2 linked regions of the Neurospora crassa OR74A genome follow. The protein of the gene in region 1 purifies or fractionates together with the protein of each later gene. This does not show direct contact. Links are inferred from orthologs where the notes say so. Each region holds a gene or a part of one and is shown on either strand. Other genes may lie near its edges.

Evidence for each region.
Region 2: the proteins of NCU04319 (region 1) and tbg purify together in Schizosaccharomyces pombe (affinity purification with western blotting; 3 studies listed by BioGRID, with this or other methods). This does not show direct contact. The link is inferred for Neurospora crassa OR74A from reciprocal best matches to the Schizosaccharomyces pombe genes alp6 and gtb1.

What each region holds. Positions count from the first base shown.
Region 1 is NC_026505.1:5,600,170-5,604,127, reverse strand, and holds the start of NCU04319 (spindle pole body component), read left to right. Parts: upstream 1-1,158; 5' UTR 1,159-1,436; coding exon 1,437-1,594; intron 1,595-1,680; coding exon 1,681-3,958. Other genes in the region: NCU04320 (transcriptional co-activator), read right to left, coding at 1-61, 126-354.
Region 2 is NC_026506.1:2,228,074-2,232,285, forward strand, and holds tbg (tubulin gamma chain), read right to left. Parts: upstream 2,801-4,212; 5' UTR 2,654-2,800; coding exon 2,646-2,653; intron 2,594-2,645; coding exon 2,553-2,593; intron 2,450-2,552; coding exon 1,341-2,449; intron 1,281-1,340; coding exon 1,053-1,280; 3' UTR 316-1,052; downstream 1-315. Other genes in the region: NCU03955 (phospholipase D1), read left to right, coding at 4,195-4,212. UniProt on the Schizosaccharomyces pombe protein: Tubulin is the major constituent of microtubules. The gamma chain is found at microtubule organizing centers (MTOC) such as the spindle poles or the centrosome, suggesting that it is involved in the minus-end nucleation of microtubule assembly.

The sequences.
Region 1 (3,958 bases):
CCATCGGGAGAGGCCAATATTGGGTCGATGCGCGCACTGAGCTCGGCTTGGTTGAGGCGACCTACAAAAGGATGTTTGTTAGTCCCTGGGCGTGTCGAGGGCAGTCGGCCTGAAGGGAGACCAACCAAGCAGAAAGTTGCCAACGGCTTCCTTGTAAACCGTCCATTGTTCTAGACCAATGTTTGCCCTGAGAGCAGTATATATAGGTTCGAGGTCGATGCGGGCCGGGATGAGTTGGCTGGTCTTTGGCTTTTGTAATGGAGGAACGGAAACATTGATGGATTTTGTAGCAAGAATAGGAGTCGAGATGTTGACGGATGGCCGACTGAGGGCCGCGGGATTTATGTCGACCATGTTGGTAGGTGTGGCTCTTCACAGAGCGGTTGTAGATGTGTCGGTCTGGAAATGCCGTCGAGGTCGAAATCCGGGCCGGGACCGGAACCGGAACCGGAAGAGGAGGGCGGACTGTGACCTCGGCGAAGAAGGAGAAGGATGGTGCCTGGCGTCCTCCAGAAAGAACCTCAGGAGGTCGGACCACTCCCCCAAACAGAAGAAAGTTGAAGTTGATAATGGTTTCCCTTCTTCCGAGCAAGAACTCTACTCGTTGGTAATGGGCGCTTCCCTTGGAATATGAAGCCCCTGCCTGCGAATGGCGTCAGTCCCGGACAGTCGCGTGCGAAGCAACAGCACAATTGCGACGCGGGAATATGATCATCTGGGCCTGAAACCGTCGGCCAACGCTATGCAATTGCGAATCTGGGCTCAGACTGATGAATTGAGCATCCTGTCGTCGACAAGTAGATTGGTGTATCAGATCGACAAAGGCTGGTTGTTGGACGGTTGGAAGTCTGAATCGAGACCCACGGGACCTGAGTTGTCGTTCTCCTCCTCCTTTGGTGGTCACTTCGGTTTCCGGGCGGTTGTTGGGTTGTTGGACTTTGCGAGAGAGTTCTGAAAAGAGCGCTGAAAGATGCACGCTAAATCACCTAAGGTACGGGCGCAACATGGAACTACCTCTACCTACCTACCTATTGAGCGCCCGGGTACCTCTACTGCCTGCCGCCTACAACCCGGGCAGTGTACTAGTCTATTTTCCCGTTCAGTGAACTGGGAGCGCTGGAAAGAGCCGCCATGATCACCAAGTGCAACTTAGGTAGGTTCAGTACCAAGCTTCCAGGAACAAACAACAAGATCAACACCATCACCGTCTGTCGCGTCTTGTGGCGCGTCCCGTCCCCTCTCCGGCCGGCAACACCCCCCAAACCAAACCAAACCAAACCAAACCAAACCCACCTGCGCTACCACTTGGCATCATTAGGTTTGAGAAATTCGAGCAAGCAAAGGAAAGCTGAAGAACCAAGGGACGGAGACAAGGAAGATGTGATGGGCATACAACTGGACGCCGCCAATTCCACCCACCCCCAGACAATGCAACAATGGCTAGCCGACAGCAGGAACACCGAGCCCAGAAGATCTCCAGCGCCATCGACAGCCTCATAGCCCACCTGATCCCCGAAAACCCCTACGAAGACGACCAGACCGCCGAGCTTCGACACGACGACTATGCCTCGGCCGTCAAGGCCCTTCTCGAACAGTAAGGAGGCTTGCTCCAGCAACGGCGCCGGCCTGAGATAACAAAACAAACATTGCTAACTCTCTCTGCCTTTCTCCCCAAACCAGACCCTCCTCGCCAAGCTATGATGCCGACGTCAACAATGCCTCCGACTTGATCAAGAGGAAGCTGATCCAGGGAAACCCAACCCAGGCACTGCGCTTTTCCCACCTCTACACCCGACTACTCTCCCTCCCGGTGCTCAACCAAAAGTGGGCCATCCTCTACTTTCTATACCAGCTCTCGGACTCGCCAGACCCCAATGAGCCCCTCCCTTTAAGCCCGCTTGCCCGACAGCAACCTCATTTCGACCCTCAGTTCCACCCCCAGATCCAGGCGCAAACACCTCCTCAACCGTCAGCATGGCCTGCCGAACCCAGGATCCCGGCATATGACGAGGTTCAGGATGAGGAGGTCATGGAGGATGCCCCTTCTCCCGAAGGCTCTCACAATCTCCCCCCAGAAAGGCCAAGACATGGTCGAGACCAAGGTCATACGCCTGTCCAGAGTCACCAGGCTGGCCCTGCTTCAAGAGACGAAAGGGATGTGGCGCATGACCCTTCGGAGCCGGCCTTGTTGAGGGACCTGCCCTTCACCCTGCAGGGCCTTTCATCGGCAACTCTCCCCTTTCTCAACGACACAACGTTGAAGCTACCACCAACGCTTCCTATCCCCATCATCTCTCTTCTCAACACGCTGGCCGAGCCTTCGCTTCTCTACAGAGGACTAAACGAGTTTACCAAAACGCCGGCAAACGGACTACTGGGCCAGAGTCTACGGGCTGCCATCAGCAAGGAGCTTCGGTCATATTTGACTCTGGTGGCTACCCTGGAGACTCAAATTCGCCGCGCTCTCTCTGAGCTTGACGAGTCTGCTCCCCGTGGTGGCATTGGAAAAACGGGCGTTACGCTCAAGCGATGCGTGGTATGGACCCGTGAGGCTACTATGGGCTTGCGCCTCATGTCTCTGATTGCCGAGGAGAGCAAGAATAAGCATGGTGGGCAGTTGGTCACCCTGATCCACAACTTTTCGTCTTCACACGGCGATCCTGTCGTAGCTGCATTCGCTGAGCGCTTGCTTGTTGACGTGACTCGGCCATTCTACGATATCCTACGCCGCTGGATCTATGACGGAGAGCTCCTCGATCCCCATATGGAGTTTTTTGTTCGGGAACAGAACCCCCTCGATGAGGAGAGGAAAGACGCCAAAGCTAAGGGCCAAATGAGTGTCTGGAACTCCAAGTATGAGCTTGTTGAGGACATGGTCCCGAGTATTATCACACGCAACTTTGCTGACAAGGTTTTCCTCATCGGAAAGTCCCTTAACTTCATCCGCCACAGCTGCGGTGATCACAAATGGGTCGAGGACTACAGTAAAAATGCGTCCAGGGAGCTCAAATATGGTGACACAGCTACCCTGGAAGCCTGGATTGACGAGGCACACAGGGAGACAATGAGCCATCTTATGCGCCTCCTAAATGACCAATTCCGTGTCTTTGATCATCTAGAGGCGCTGAAGCGGTACATTCTGCTGGGGCAGGGTGATTTCATTGCTCTGCTGATGGAGTCGCTGGCTCCTAACCTAGATCGGCCAGCGGGCGCCCAGTATCGACATACACTCACTGCGCAGCTTGAGCATGCCATCCGAGGCTCAAACGCTCAATATGATGATCCAGAAATCACCAATCGCTTGGATGCTCGCATGCTTCAGCTTAGCCATGGTGATATCGGCTGGGACTGCTTTACGCTCGAGTACAAGATTGACGCGCCCGTGGACGTCGTTGTCACCGAGTGGGGCAATCGACAGTACCTCAAAGTCTTCAACTTCCTTTGGCGTATCAAGCGTGTCGAGTTTGCCCTGGCCTCGACCTGGCGCAAGTGCATGACTGGCGCCCGCGGCGTTCTCCAGACGTCGGACGAGACGGTGCTTCAAACATGGAAGAGCACACGGGGTGTCCTCGCCGAGATGGTCCATTTTGTCGGCCAATTACAGTACTACATCCTCTTTGAGGTTATCGAAAGCAGTTGGACCGAACTGCAAAAGAACATTCACAAGGAGAACTGCACGCTCGACGACCTAATAACTGCCCATACCAAATACCTCACATCTATCACACACAAGGGTCTCCTCGGTGCCAAACGACGACCGTACCCGCAGACAGGCGACCCTGTCTCAGCATCTTCCACGACCGACGAAGATCGCAACTCCTACATGGTCCAGCTAAGCGAGCTGCTCCGGATAATGCTCGCCTACAGAGACAGCGTAGACGGTCTCTACAGCTGGTCCGTCTCCGACTTTACGAGACGTCAGGAGAAGGAGACAGCCGGGCTGATCTACTCACACCGC
Region 2 (4,212 bases), on another chromosome or scaffold:
GCATGTTTTCTTCCTGGGGAAGTTGGAGCAACAGGGAAGCTCAAGGGACTTCTGGGAAGGACTCCTACTCCTCCCCTCCCGCGCTGGATGACCATGTCGTTTGAAATCCGTGCATCTCGAATTCTCGCGGTAATCTGCATTGAGCGCAGTGCATCTGATGTATTTTGCCAAATCTTGATGAGGTCATCTTCACCCTGAAGTGTTGGTAGGGAGATACGCCTATCACCGTCCTTGGGTTCCTGATTGAGACTAAAAGCAGTCAATGCCATCCCTGTCTCAATATTTTGTCTAAATACGCTAAGGAGTGCCAAGATGTGGTGATAGCTTCATCTGCATCTATATAGCTTCCTGCAGAGGACCATAACGATATTGATCGCAGCACCCACTGACAATGAAACACAACCAAGAAACAGAAAAAGTAAAAAAAAAAAAGTAAAAAAAAGAGAGAGGACAAGAGCTGGAATCGAACGGCTGACGTCACGTTCAACTGGAAGGGAGTAGAAGAGCCCTATTTTGCATAGCCGGAAGACGCCAGCTTACAGTGCTTCCAGGGAGGTTCTCCCCCGCCATTTAGGTCCCCGTTGGGTCACCTACGGCGGCGAGGGCCCCCCCCCCAGCATGTGGTGCACTACCCTCCTTGTGCAAAGAGAGCTCAGCGCACCACGCCGCTCGACCACGCAGCCACTTGTCAGTTGGTTGAGTACTTATCACCTTGGGGTCCTTTATGAAGCCCAAGCTGAGGTCGCGCGTGCATGCATTTTGGGGTTTGAAGACAAGTGGTATTTCCATAGCCTCAGTGGTCAAAGAGCTGCTGCAATCTATCGACAACATGCCAAACGATACAGAAAACGCGCGCCAACACCTTTCTCCTGGTTTTCCCTCCCGCCCAATAACGCCTGCGAACAACAATCTGGTCGTGATATCGCGTCAGCCTAGTTAAGAAAAAAAAAAAAAAGAAGAGAAAAAGAGGGATACCAGCTGTCTTTAAAGGATCCCAGGTATAGTCGCAAAACAAAAGGCCCCCAGCTGGCCATCATCTGTCCGGCTAAGACTCAAGCCATTCTCTTGTCCGTGTCAGCCGACGCGTTTTCGCCAAGCTCGGGGTTGAGATAATTGGCGTCTTCGGCAGCCTCGTAATCGGCAATAAGGTCCATGACGACCTCCCTGGCTTCGTCAAACTCGTTGAGGTTTTCAGAAAACGGCGCCGTCTTTTTGTAGGCTTCCATAAAGGCGTTGCGCTTCCGCATGCCATCGTACTGCCTAACGATACGCTTGAAGAGCTGTGTGAAGAAATGTCAGTTTGATCATCTATCTAGCCAACACAGCAGCAGTTGACATACCGTAGCAATACTAGTATGGTTTGCCAACATCAAACCACTGACACGATGTGCCATAGTCACGTAGGGACTCCTCTTGGTCAGTGCCACCTGGATGCTAGCGGGACCCCAAGGAATGAATGTAGCAAGACGACGTTCCCTAATACGGAGCAGACTCTTGTGCACATCGGTTGGGTCCACGTCGCCCTGGATGACGTTCAGGATGGAAATGTAGCAGCTCTTCTTGCCGGGTACAGTAGACACCATGCGATTCTTGGGCTGCAGCAATCGTCTCATGACGTCGAGAACCGTCGTTTTGCGCACCGTCTTTGCCTGCTCTACCTGGTCGCCAGTGAAGGGCGTGTACGACGTCATCAAGAAGTGGCATCGAGGAGTCGGAATCAAGGACGCGAGAATGCTGACCAGGTCGTTGTGCATGTAGCCGGGGTATCGAAGGGTGGTTGTGCTGGCGGACATGACGGTCGATACGAGCTGATTCGTCTGTTGGAAGGATGGCTCTTGTACGTGTAGTCTGTCGGCGGCAATGTGTGACAAGGCGCCGTTGTCAAGCACCACTACCGAGTCGGCGTTTTGCGTTAACCTCCTCATGGCAAGTAAACTGTTGTAGGGGTGCACGACAACATCGCCGGCGCTGGTCGTGTCGGGAAATACCGAATATGTCTGGATGATCTTCTTGGGGAAGCGGTCGTTCAGTCGCTCGAGTAGGAAAGAACCCAGGCCTGATCCTGTGCCGCCGGCGATGGAGTGTAACATCATGAAGCCCTCGAGGGAGTCGCTGCCGTCGGCTTCGCGCTCAATCATCTCCATGATCTCCTCATGTACCTGCTCGCCTGTTTGGTAACCATCACCCCAGTTGTTACCCGCACCAAGTCCGCTCTTGCCCACGTAGAAGTTTTCTGGGTTGTATATGTTCCGGTATGGTCCGGTCTGGATGGTATTGATGACTCTGGGTTCGAGATCGATCAGGATGGACCGGGGAATGTATCGCGTATCGTCGCTCTGGTAAAAGAAGACATCTTTACGGTCGCCGCCTTCGGTCGCAAAGTCCTCGATGGTTCCGTCCTGGCTGATGCCATGCTCCAGACAAAGCTGCTGCCAGAACTGGCTTCCGACTTGAGAATGTTAGCAGAAACTGCGCGTCCAGCTGCCGGATGTCGAGGCGCAAGACTGGGTGAAGGTCGACTGCCTCCTCGTCGGGTTGAATTGGGCACTCACTGCTGTTGCCGCACTGGCCGGCCTGGATGGTTATTATTTCTCTGTTTGCCGGTTAGTCACGATATGTTGGGTGCTGGGATGAGGGACGCGTACCTGGGCATGGTGGTGGCATTAACGAGGCGCGAGACCTCCAGGCGGAAATTGTTGCAATTGGGACAAAAGCGGAGGGAACATCGGTAAACATATGGAAGGACGTCAGCAGAGCACGCCCGGTAGTTCCCCACATTGGATTGCAGCACGTTGCCCACCACTACTACGCTAAGATTCCCGCGTCGACGCGACAGAAACGGGAGGAGATGGAACCCAGGTAGCTGCCGTGCCCCTGCGAACGCTACAAGGGACGGGAAATCACCAAACGCTACCTACCTCTACCTACAGTGACGCCCGCTGTCAGCTGCTAGCAGCATGATCGGAGAGGGGCACCTAACCTGGGCCGGTAGAGGTACCTCTCTCTACCAGAGACATCCAATGATCCATCGTCTCCATCCACCTATCTCGTGGCTGGCTCCCGTCGGCTGGATCTAGCAGTTCCAGGACCCGGGATTGCTAACCCTGTCGGGTATAGCTTCTGTAATTCGTTAAGGGCCGTCCATGCCTGCATGTCCAAGCACCCCAACCTAAAATGACAAAACCCCATTTTCCAGCAGGGCAGTCCAGGTGCGACGGGGGGCTCCTTCAGCGCCTTTCCACTTGGTTACTGTAGCGGAGCATTGCGCTACCTAGGTAAGTACCTTGCAACGTGACGGGACGGGATCCTTCGTCTCACCACTTTGACAAACACCCGACACACGCAGGCAGGCGTCTTGCACGTTTTACCCCTCCACATGACGGGGAACGTTGACGTAGAAGAAAGGTGACGGTCAAGAGATCAGGCAGAACTCTGAGGTGGAGAGAGTAGTTGACCGAATAATGAAAAAAACAAATTATTCCAGGTTGCTCTTGGTTCTCTCATTCCAACCTTACTACGCAGGTACAACGGACAGTTACCGTACCGGACGATACAGGTAGTAACAGTAACAGTAACAGTAACAGTAACAGACGGGCGCGGCCAATAAACAACAACTTCCAAGTTTGACCTCTCTCCTGCCCCTTTTCGCGTCTACCTTTTCCTTGTACGGGGATGCCCGCTGTGTACTAGTAAGTAGAGTACTACTACTCTAACAGTTTACACCTTGCTTCAATCTCCAACGTCACCTCATCTTGCTTTCTCTACACTACTTCGACCTCCCCCTAAAACCGACTGTATCTGCGAACTTCCACCTTGGGAGGTACTTCATACTGTTCAAGGTAGCCACGCCACCGTCTCCATCTTCTTTCACCGACCTTGTTGGCCCGATTGGAACCACTCTGCCGCTCTTTTCCCGGTCGTTGGCTCGTTCCGATTAGCAATTCCCATTATTCAAAAAGTTGACCGCCGTCTTCGAGCCCCTGGAGAGTCAACCCGCTTTCCACGAGCGTGACCATTTCTACCGTTACTTGTGAGCCGCGGCATGTTTCGCTACCGAGGATCCTACCCCTTCTTCTCTCAAGATACTGTCCACATCTCCCAGCATCAAGGACAACAACAGCAACAGCAACAGCAACAGCATACTTCACCAGTCCCCCGGTAGGCTGACCAACCGTCAACCGCCCATCGTCTGCCATGGCCGACCCGACCCGA